Linked DNA regions of Xenopus tropicalis. The protein of the gene in region 2 purifies or fractionates together with the protein of the main gene of each other region. This does not show direct contact. Links are inferred from orthologs where the notes say so. Each region holds a gene or a part of one and is shown on either strand. Other genes may lie near its edges. The genes, in order: ptpn11, themis and grb2.

The links.
Region 1: the proteins of themis (region 2) and ptpn11 purify together in Homo sapiens (co-immunoprecipitation; 3 studies listed by BioGRID and IntAct, counting the BioPlex papers as one, with this or other methods). This does not show direct contact. The link is inferred for Xenopus tropicalis from reciprocal best matches to the Homo sapiens genes THEMIS and PTPN11.
Region 3: the proteins of themis (region 2) and grb2 purify together in Homo sapiens (co-immunoprecipitation; 6 studies listed by BioGRID and IntAct, counting the BioPlex papers as one, with this or other methods). This does not show direct contact. The link is inferred for Xenopus tropicalis from reciprocal best matches to the Homo sapiens genes THEMIS and GRB2.

What each region holds. Positions count from the first base shown.
Region 1 is NC_030677.2:163,821,303-163,824,956, reverse strand, and holds part of ptpn11 (tyrosine-protein phosphatase non-receptor type 11), read right to left. Parts: intron 3,401-3,654; coding exon 3,284-3,400; intron 3,208-3,283; coding exon 3,094-3,207; intron 1,358-3,093; coding exon 1,261-1,357; intron 1-1,260. UniProt on the Homo sapiens protein: Acts downstream of various receptor and cytoplasmic protein tyrosine kinases to participate in the signal transduction from the cell surface to the nucleus. Positively regulates MAPK signal transduction pathway. Dephosphorylates GAB1, ARHGAP35 and EGFR.
Region 2 is NC_030681.2:68,102,311-68,106,393, forward strand, and holds the start of themis (protein THEMIS), read right to left. Parts: upstream 2,818-4,083; 5' UTR 2,729-2,817; coding exon 2,638-2,728; intron 1-2,637.
Region 3 is NC_030686.2:44,450,108-44,453,957, reverse strand, and holds the end of grb2 (growth factor receptor-bound protein 2), read left to right. Parts: intron 1-973; coding exon 974-1,096; intron 1,097-1,602; coding exon 1,603-1,807; intron 1,808-2,155; coding exon 2,156-2,341; 3' UTR 2,342-3,197; downstream 3,198-3,850. UniProt on the Homo sapiens protein: Non-enzymatic adapter protein that plays a pivotal role in precisely regulated signaling cascades from cell surface receptors to cellular responses, including signaling transduction and gene expression.

The DNA.
Region 1 (3,654 bases), on a different chromosome or scaffold from region 2:
ATCAGAGATGATCCAAAAGAATTGGGCGCCCGAGGCAACCCTTAGCAAACTTCCATTCTTGGTTCCAGTCCTCTGCTGCTGCCTCAGCTGCAAGAAACAAAATCACCAACCCTCCTCAACAGGTCCTTTGCCACTGCTACTGTAACTTGCACTAGCCATCCTTCATCCCCATTGCTTATTGCAAAATCAAGGATCTGAAGGAACAAATATCGCCCTTGGCAGGTGCCTACCCTGACTACCCCTTTGTCCAGTCCTGCTTCATATGAAAGGGACAGACTGCTTATGCATGAGTGCGTGTATTTGTATATACATTTAGGCAATCACCAAAAAGTGGAGATGCATTAAAACAGAACAATTGCCTTCTCAAAACCAAAAGCTATTTCTACTAATGACACAGCACTATGAACACTCACTTTGCTTGCTTGGCACAATAGTTCCTTATAATAGAGTGCTGCTACTACCTCTTTGTGGCTTAGTTGTCTGTTCAGTAATGATTATATATGGTTGCAGTGGGTAAAGAATACATCAACCACAAACCTAGTGCAGGTGAAAATAACAAAAACTAATTAGCACCTAGTCATTTATTATTAACAGAAACCTTCTGCGAGATCTGAAAAATAATTAGCAGCCATAAATTTACTTGTGCTACTGCAATATTATATATCCCACCAGGGTTTCTCTAGTTTTTCTTTCTACGTTAACTTTTTTACTCCAGACGTTTGTAGACAATAAAGCTCAAAGCAAACACACTGTAATAAAAAAGGCTTTTGGTTCAAGTAAAACATCGATTCAAGGCTTTTGGATCAAGGTTCAAAAATACCTGGCATGTCAATTCAAATAAATATATTTTTGTTCTTACCGACAAAAGGAAATCCTCAGACACCATTTAACATAAGACTGCATTACCACAAAGTTATTTCTGGGATTTTAGCACCCCCAAGTTGCATAAAAATAATTTAAAACAGTCATAATTAGATGCTTAACTGGAAAGCTCCAGGTAAAATATGTGGCCAAAAGTATTCCAATAACTGCCTTTCCAACTTCGTATTCCAAAATCAAGGGTATGAACTTGAGTTGGTGTTCTCTTTGCTGCTATAACATTTGCTACTCATCTGGGTAGGCTTTCCACTAGATGTTGGAATATTGTTACTGGGGAGTTTCTTTCTTACTTCATACAGTCCTGCCCTAGTTGAATACCAGCATGATAAATCTCACATCTCTTAACTAACATGGGGCAGAATCAAATCAGTCAGTACTCACAAGGTAATATATTCTTGTATCGGTTCTTATTTTTGTTCTCTTGTCTTTGTCCCTCTTTCCTGCTATACAGCAGTTTGCATTCTTGCTGTTGTAAAGTCTGAAAAACAAATATAACACAAAATAAGTAGTCTCACAGAATTCTTGGGAGGACTTCCCTTAAAGTTAAACCTAATCACACTAATCACAAATTACTGCTATTGGAGATCAAAACTGGCCAGTTAAAAAAAGGAGTCAATGGGATTCTGCCTGCAGATTAATGGGCATAACTACAGTACATATCTAAAATTTATTTTATTCAAATATCCATATTAAAAAAAGCATACACAGGATTCGCCTTACGTGTTTCGCACCCTTCTGGTACTTAGTCATAAGCAGTTATATCCCCATAAGTTCCAAAACAAGACAATTGCAATTGAAAGAGCTCAATGTTTACATATATATTAATTAAAAGACATAACTGCCTAAGAATACGCACAAGGCGGAATCCTCTGGGGTTTTTATTCTTTTTTAATATGGATATCTGAGTAAAATTATTTTTTTAAACTTGTTGTGATGAGTTAGTCATACTTTATTGATACGAACCACACTATTGTCAAACTCTTGAATCCAAGAACTGCTCTGTGGACTGCAGAGCGCACATAATGGCCGTGGGCCAAGACAAGACGAAGAAGTAGCTCTGACTGAATACAGGTAGTTAATTCTACTATAATACATGCTGTATTGCAGGCAAACTAAATAGTGCAAAGCAGTGATGGTGGGTTACTCTTGATTGGGCAAGGCTAAAAGGGGACCATATCAAATCAGGTTTACATGTCTCAGAACAGACAATATAGTCAGAAAAAAAAATCATTGGTGCTTCTACTTTATTATTAAAAAAGGCAGTGTGTTTTCTGCAGCACATAAGAAAACTTATTCTGGGTTCTAACACATCTAATTCAGACAGGAGTTCACAAAGCCATCTCAAATGTAAAGAGACAGTCCATTTGGTAATGAGTTCATTTACAAAGAACCACTATTTAAATACACTGGAAGCATGTTGCGGGGACATCAGACTTCCATATTGCTGCAGTTAGTTTTATGCATCGATAAGCAGCTGGATAATTAAATTGTAATTAAAGTTTTTTGTAGGTGTGGTAGCCCTTATGTTGCACATAAGGTTTTAACTACATTAATTACTTCTGCTGCCTTCAGAGGCTTTACTACAATTAAGGTTATGTATGAAAGCCTGTATTTGGAGATCTCTTCCTCTTTTCCTGTGTGTTAGTTCACTGTGTCTTTTCATTTAGGAACTTTCATTAAGCAGCGAATATAAACTACCTGCAATTTGTGTCATACACTGCAGTACAACCTAAGGAGTGCAGATCTAGATTACTGAGAGAATACTGCAATGCTGCAAAGTGTCCTGGGAAGGGGTATAAATAGCATGTCTTTAGTAGGAAAAAATTAAATTATATGCACGTTACAAAGACAAACATTAATAAAAAAAAACATCCTTAGTGCTTTTAAAGTCTGTAAAATTAAATGCTTTATCAGTAATCTTTCAAAATGTAATTACTGCAGCAATGGAACAAAAATGATGCAGAATCTACTTCTCTATACACATAAATCAATGGCCCCTCTTATTTTCATCTTTGTGTCCTAACAATCTATGATTGTGTTTGTTTGGAGAAATTAACTCCATAGCATATTGACTTTAATTATCATTAAAGGAAACTGATGGGGAGCATTCTAATGTTAAGCATCAAACCGTAACTGCAAATGAATATAAAAAAAACCACACAAATAACAGGCCAAACAGAGGGTAACAAATTGGACACAATACTATAAAAGTACCTCAAATTCTTCCCAGAATCCTTGCTTAAATTTATCTGCAGTCTCTGCTGGCTTGCTAAGTTCCTTTACCCGGCTTTCAATTTCTGCAGCATTAATCCGCGTTGTGTTCAGTGGCTAAAAGAAAAGCTAAATTCTTAGCATATGGGTAAATAGGTACAAGGGGTTAATTGTCATGTTTAATTAGTCTTACCTGTTTTAGCTGCAGTACAGTTCCTAAAGTCTCAACCATAGGATTTTTTTTATAATGTTCCACGAGATCTGTCAGAGAGTCAAATTTCTCTCCCCCTCCAACATCATATTTTAAATCCTGGAGAAAGCAGAAAAAAAATGCAAGGTATCTGCATAATACAATAATTCAATATACTAAGGGGCTGATTTACTAACCCACGAATCCGACCCGAATTGGAAAAGTTCCGACTTGAAAACGAACATTTTGCGACTTTTTCGTATGTTTTGCGATTTTTTCGGATTCTGTACGAATTTTTCGTTACCAATACGATTTTTGCGTAAAAATGCGAGTTTTTCGTATCCATTCCGAAAGTTGCATAAAAAGTTGCGCAT
Region 2 (4,083 bases):
TTCAGCATATCATGTATGTATTAAATGCTACTAGGATATGCAGCACTGTACAATTTTACAATTTAGAAAAGTACATACAGGAAAGACAACATTATACAAAAATAATAGTAAATAATTAAGTATACATATGTATCGATTAACTGCCACGTGGTAAAAGACACAGTGGGAAAGGAAGTCGCTGCCCCGTAGAGCTTACTACCTAAGTGAGTAGTAACTTAGATTGTAATATGAGTAATATGGGTGTCTATCTTTTCTTACATTTGCTGAAATTCTGAAGTCACAATCAGATGTGTTCAGCATTAATCTTTCGGAACCTTCCTGTTACAGTTTTAATTGCAAGAGGATGTTGGTAGTTCTGCAGTACCTGCAGGATAGCAAAGGTGTACATTCACTCTTGTAGGGGTGTATTATTCCTGCGATAGACTTGGAAGTTGTTGTATTTTTTGGACCATTGCAGGTTAGATAATGTTGTCTTGTTTTTCTTTTGATACACAAAAGCCATGAATAGCTATAAACTTTATCCTTATGAAGGAAACCATAAGCTTTAATTACTGTTTAGTAATGCCACTTGTGTTACACGACCTGGGTATTATATAAAAGAAAATAACAGAGAAAATGTACCTACTCTTGTAAAATATGCAGATATTTGTATTTTTATTGTGGTGCAAAACACTTCAATCAACAATAAACACATAATTTTGAAACTAATGTATCTTTCTTGTGGAGAAAAATAACTTCCTTGCCACAACCAAAGTGCCTGGGTGCCCTGTTATCCTGTAAATTAAATCAGTACAGTACATACTTATAGGTACACACAGCATAAATTAGACCATATAAGGTTGTACTGTCCTTGATAGGAAAAATATTAGTGATCCAACAGCGTGTGAAGAAATTCCCTGTGCTAAACAGGTTCCAGCAAGGTGAGGAAGGAGAAAACCTGCAGGCAAGAGGACTAAGGCTGTTGCACGTTTCAAGCAAAGGCATTTCAACTGGGACAAAAGCAGAAAAAGGTTTTATTTGGCCCCTAGGAATTTATTTTCTTCATGTTACATGAAAAGTAATATATCATATACAGAACAGAAATTAAAAATGAAAAATTGCATTTTGCAATGTAATATTGTTTGACAGTTTTTACCCTGATAATTTTATTTATACATAGACCTGTCACAAGGCAGAAGCTTAAAAAAGTGCATTTTTTTTTCAGTGCCGGATGAGTTGTTTAATACTTAGCAGTTTGACAAAATGTATATTAAATACTCATTTTCATAAATCAAAAATAATTTGCCTTTCACAAACTATTTTCATTACATTCTCTGGTTAAATATTATATTCAATACAATAAAGAAGTCTATACAGCAAAAAAAAAAACTTAATGACCATTTGTTTATATATGTTGCTTGAATAACAAACTCAGCACTTTAATTTGGTGGAGCACTTTGGTGTTTCCCTTTCTGACCATTCATGCATTTAATTAACCACAGCTTGGTATAGTCGCTGCACCAAAGGTAATGTCATGCCTGCTGGAAACAAGATAATGAAGCAATTGTTCCAAACCGTGTTAATGTGAAAGCCCATGTGCTTCTAAGCCTGTGAGGTTATTTTGAGTTTTTGTTCATTTGTAATAAAAAAAAAAGTACACAAATAAAATCTGCTTGCAAAAGGTGATAAATCCAGAGGATGTAGTGTTAAGTTACTAATTGATATTTTGCATGCTAACAAAGACATAGACATGTTTTTAACCTATATGTGTGGTTCCTGTTATCTGAAATGTTTGGGATGTAGGACTATCCAGATACGGGGTCATTCCACTGGCGATTCCCTTTATTGCTGGTGGAAAGGCTTTTCTGGGAGATTAGTCACCAGCGGTACCAGAGATTTATCACAGGCGACTATTCTCCCCATGGGCCATTACCCTTAAGGCAATGGGGGGAAAATTTTTTTTAACACTGACTAAACCCAGTAGGAATGTTTTGCCATCAACATTGATTTATGCTGTCTTAGTCATTCTTAGATATAAGGTATTGCCTTTCTTTTACACAACAAAAGCACATCAGCCTAAAATACAGAATTGTGTGTTTAAATAGGACACAAAAGAAAATGGAAACTGCAGGTTTTTTTTTTTTATCTTTCTGGATAATTGGTTTCTTGACAGCAGTTTCCATCCTATACAATCTTGCCAATGTGATATACAGGTGTGGGACCTGTTATTCAGAATGCTTGGGATCTGGGGGTTTTCCGAAAAAGGGGTCCTCCATAATTTAGATATTCATAGCTTAAGTTCACTAAAAAAATGTAAACATTTAATAAACCCCAAATTATTATTTTGCCTCTAATAAGGTTTAATTATATCTTAGTTAGGATCAAGTATAAGGCACTGGTTTATTAATACAAACATAAAGGAGATAATTTTTAAAACATAAATTGAGATGGCCTTCCCGTTATTCGGAGCTTTCTGGATATCAGGTTTCCAGAGAATAGATCCCATTCCTGTACTTACTAAATAAATATTAAGAAATTAGCAAGAGCTATTGGGCACAGATGTAGAAGCCAGTCACAATGCCACGTAACAAAGCCTTTGACAACCTTCAACTCAAAGAGACATTATCATTTCTAAAAACAATTCTGTATTATAATTACCTCCATAATAATATCCAGATTGTATCTGCAGCACTCTTGGAAGTGTTTTTGGATCCAGAGTATTAATAAATTGCTCAAGTGAAGTTGCCATAATCCAAGGTTAGTCATGCAGCCCAAGCAAAGTAATTCTATGCACAGAGAGCAGAGATGTGTGGTATGCTGCTAGGGACACACTGCACAAGTTTGTAGTTAAGAGCTGCAGAACAGGAAGATGGTTTTGGTCATACAAAGCTCAAAGTTCCTGTTCTTACATGTCATAGACACCTGTATATAAGCAGAAAACACCACTGTGGTGTTAATAAATAAGGTTTTGTGGTAATATTGCTTTTGCTTTGACCTACATCGTAAAAGAAGGCAGAAATGTGGATTATAATAATGATATGATGATATAATCATAGCCTTTTTGTTTTGCAAACTTAAGGGGCAGGGCTAGTTTCAGACCTTTGGATTCTGGACAGGTACAGTAGCTTTAAACCGGACAGTCCATGAAAAAACAAACAGTCCAGTTAAAACCCAGAGGCAACCGTACTGCCAATTGTGACCCTGAATGCACATAGAATTTGCAGCCTGGGTACTGTACTGTAGATAGCACATCAGGAACCTTTTTATTTGCATTGAAAAGTTGGGAAAAATTCTGCTTGTCAGAGCACTGATCACAGGCAGATGATATGTGTTTGACTGTGAATGATGTGGGTGCATGTTGCAGACATTTTCCAAATCCTTTGCAATAAAAGCACCTGCCAGGAAAAAAATGTGCGCTAGGTCCAAAAAATGTGTTTTTTCTTTTTTGCTTATTTTTTTCTTTTGAGTCTATTTTGTCTTTTATTCCATAAAGTGTTCATGTGGCTTTATATTCCATTCTAAGTCCCTGGATCAATCCTATATTATTTGTTGTAATTATTATTCTAAAGCACTGGTTCACTAATGATTTTACCAGTAGCCTTGCATTCTCTCATTTGCTAAAAAGGCATCCGACCCTCTCTTACAACTGTCTAAAATATCAGCCTGTACAAACAGTTCAGGGAGAAAAAGCAATCATTTCACAGTAATGTTAATATTGTTTTCTTAAGGACAGCACTTGTCAACCTTTTTGTTTCAAAAAGCTGAGTGAAGGGTTCAGTAGTAAATATGCTCACAGTTGCTCACTAGGTGGTGCTATATCTAATTAAACTACATGAAAAATATGTGCTTACAGTATCTAGTAGAATTTAGTCTAAAGCAACCAGACTTTCACTACTTGTCTGAACAGCTCCAAGATTAGTGGTGAAACATTTTCAAAAAAACTCTAATAACTTAATTCTACTAGATCAGTGGTTCTCAACCTACCTAACGCCGCGACCCTTTAATACAGTTCCTCATGTTGTGGTGACCCCCAACCATAAAATTATTCCTATTATTCCCATCGGAAATATGTGTTTTCCAAAGGTCTTAGGCGACCCCTGTGAA
Region 3 (3,850 bases), on a different chromosome or scaffold from region 2:
ATGCCAGTTAGGGAATAAACACAGGCCGAGAGTCAGTCCCTTGTGGCATCAGCCTTGCTGTCCCTTTGGGCCGCCCATACAGAAATGTCCCTGGAGGAGAGGTGGATTTTTATCACTTATAGAGCTGAAGCTCTCAGAGTTGGAATTTGAACTGCAGACTGTTTGCTGGGGCTGTAATTAGAGTAGAGAGATAATGCAGCCATAACACCATAAATAAGGAATGAATCGTGCGTATTGTAGGCCTATCTGTATCAGACTAAGGGTAATGGCACATTGGGCAATTCCACCTGCCGTATTCACCGACTGCAAACTCCACTTGTGATTTTTTTTTTTTTCTTTAAAGGTTAAATTTCTCCACTTCTCATTTTTACACAGCGTTTTAATGACCATTTATTTCTGAAATGTTGTTCTGCCTTTCCTGTGTCACTGTGTCTTTGGGTGATTCTCCGCTGTGCTATGATTGTGCTACTCCCTGACTTACTCCACTGTGAAAATGTCATAAAATGCAGTTTGCTCCTTTTTTGTCAAAAAGACAAATTCACTTTAAATTGCTTGTGAATATGGTTTAGGAGGTTATGGTTCAAAGTAGAGGAAGAAACATTTGCACACTGTCCCACAAAGGCTCCAAATAAAGTGACCGTCTGTAGAAGATGTTGTGCAACTTCAGCATAGCACAGTTCCTTTTTTAAATTTGTGTCTTTGGGAATACGGAGAATGCATTTACATCTGTTTTACCATCACTTTTAGCCCCCCCAGAACAGACTTTTTCCACTTTTTGTGAATCCCCCCTTGGAATTGCACCATATACCATTTCTCTAACACATAACAGTCCCCTCTTGTGGTTTTTTTGCTTGCATGCTCTCCCTTTTCCTGTTCTTTTAATCTCCAGTTCTCTAATAGTATTTCCCGCTAGCCACAGCTCTCCCTCTGTGTGTTTTCTGCCCTTGAGTTTAATGGCGTTCGATTTCCGTAGGTGGTTTTTCGGTAAAATCCCCCGTGCCAAAGCAGAGGAGATGCTTGGAAAGCAGAGACACGATGGTGCCTTTCTGATCCGAGAGAGTGAAAGTGCTCCTGGAGATTTCTCCTTATCAGTCAAGTGAGTGTTTTTCTTATGGGGATCTGTATTTTTTTTGGCAGTGCGGTCATGAATAGGGCCTGTTCCCCTTTACAATAACTTTTAGTATGACATAGACATTAATATTCTGAGACAATTTGCAATTAATTTTCATTTTTTATGGTTTTTCAGTTTCTCAGCTTTTCGTTCAGCAGCTCTCTGCTTGCTAGGGTCTTGTTTACCTTAGCAACCAGGCAGAGGTTTCCGTGAGAGACTGGAATATGAATAGGAAAGGGACTGAATAGAAGGATAAGGAATAAAAAGTAACAATAATAAAATTGCAAGCTCACGGAGCAATAGATTTTTGGCTGCCGGGGTCAGTGACCCCCATTTGAAAGCTGGAAAGATGTAGAAGAGATAATAAAATAAAACTTAAAAAAATAATGAAGATCAATTGCAAAGTTGTAAGGAATAGGGCCATCTATAACATACTAAAAGTTACCTTAAACTTTAAGGAGCATCTGTAAAAATTCACCCATCTTCTTCAGATTCGGCAATGACGTGCAGCACTTCAAGGTCCTACGGGATGGAGCCGGCAAGTATTTCCTGTGGGTGGTAAAGTTCAACTCGCTGAATGAGCTGGTGGACTACCACAGGTCCACATCCGTGTCTAGGAACCAGCAGATCTTCCTACGAGACATCGAGCAGGTTCCACAGGTACACGGGGGAGACAGAGCCACGAATTTGCTACAGGTATATAGAGGGGAGGGACAGGCAAGAGACTGTGCTTTGGATAGAAGCGCGGTGCATTTATACAGCTTTGTGTGGGATATAATGTATCTCGTTACTAAAGAGGAACAAAATCTCATCTTCTCTGATAACATTGGGCCTTTTCTCACATTTCCCACCTACCTTCCTGCCTGTCTGGTGTGGCTATTTGGGTTCTGTCTGTGTATAACTAGGGTGCTTTGTGGTGCATATATATTTCTGCTTGTAGGAATGTTGTGCTATGTATAATAGGTGCATGCAGAATGAGGGAGGGGTATCCTGTGTTATTAAGGCTAAGCCCCCCTGACATGTCGATCTTTAACCTCACCGCAGCAACCGACCTATGTGCAGGCGCTATTTGACTTTGACCCACAAGAAGATGGTGAACTTGGATTCCGACGAGGAGACTTCATCCAAGTTGTAGACAACTCCGACCCCAACTGGTGGAAGGGGACATGCCTCGGCCAAACTGGCATGTTCCCACGCAACTACGTGACACCCGTTAACCGTAACATGTAACCAGAGTCGGCAAGGAACCAGTGGCCAAGGAGGAGCACAGGCAGACTGATCTGGGAGGCATTTCGGACTGACTGAGCGACCAAAGGGAGAGAAAATCTTTACCCGGGGGAAGCCAAGACAGACTGACCAAGACAGACAGATGACTGTCTAAATGCAGCCCCGCACACCAGCAAGGACAGTTTGCCCCGGGATTGTCATAAATACTCAATAACAGGATAGAAACATGGATAGATCATTAACTTGGGGGGGGTGGGTGGGGGGACATAGACATATATTGTAAGAATGCTTATGTTTTGACTGCCTCAATCTGGTTGGCTGCTGCCCTTTGACTGACAGATGACAGCATTGCAGAATAGCGCAGGGGGCGAGGGTGGGAATGGTACGCATTCAGTATAGCTCAAACCCAACTCTATAGACCGACAGACTCGACTGTATCGCAGATGTTATTGCTTCCTGGGCCTGGATCTGAGACGGCGATCCCACAAGTCTGGCTGTGCTTTGTGCAGCCGCCACGCACGCTTTCCACAAGGTGAACCCCTTGGCCCAACGTTGAACTTTTTTTTGGGTGGGAGGGCGAAGGGTCCGACCGACTCTCGAGGGGAAGGGGATGGGCGATTGTTGATGTTTGATTAAGAATGCCAAAACTTACCTTTAAATTAAAACAAAAACAAGAGACTTTTTTTTTTAATTAACAAACTCCCTTTACTGCTGCTGTTTCTTCCCCACGTCCCATTCCTGTTTCACCCCCCCCATCCTTATCATGCATGTGTTAGCCAAGCACTAAGTACACACGCCTTGGAAAATAAAATGCGCAGAAGTGAGAGCTGCCATATCCACTCATTTTCTCTCTATGCAAGTCTGGTTCTGCTGGTTTGATTGTAAGGGGCCACAAACTCTATCCCCCCCGTTTTTCTGGAGTAGGGAGCCCCCCCAAATAAACAAGGTTGGTGGGGGGTGGAGCGGTAGCTGGCACATATATGCCTGTCTAGCCTGGTGTCTGTTCAGCTGACCGGCCTCAGGCATCTTTACATGATATTGACATTTTGTATCTCACTCCCACAGTACAGACAGCAGTTGGCCTAATCTACTATTCTATGGTTCTGTCATTTAACACAAGTACTGGCAGGAAAATACGTTTGGGATTGGGGCTGGGAGGGGGCCAGCAGGGATCTGGCAGGGTATTGGTTATAACCTAGGGTTTTGAACGACAAGAGGCAAAGGACACTTTTAATATCACACAATTATTTCAATTTCTGTGAGGTTGCTAGGGGAATTCACCCTAACAACCTGGCAGTGGTTTGACTGACCGGGTAGGAATGGCTTTATGCTTGGCAGTAGCTTCAGAAGTGGTTCAGGGTAGAATGATGCAGAGAATCGGCCTCTGCCCACTATGTCTAGCTATCGGAGCAGTGGTTCCTGGCACGTGGGCCGATGTTCCAGCTTGCCCTGGTTGTTTAAAGGGAATTAAAAAGTATTAAAAATATAAATGATAATATGCCCTTTTAGCAA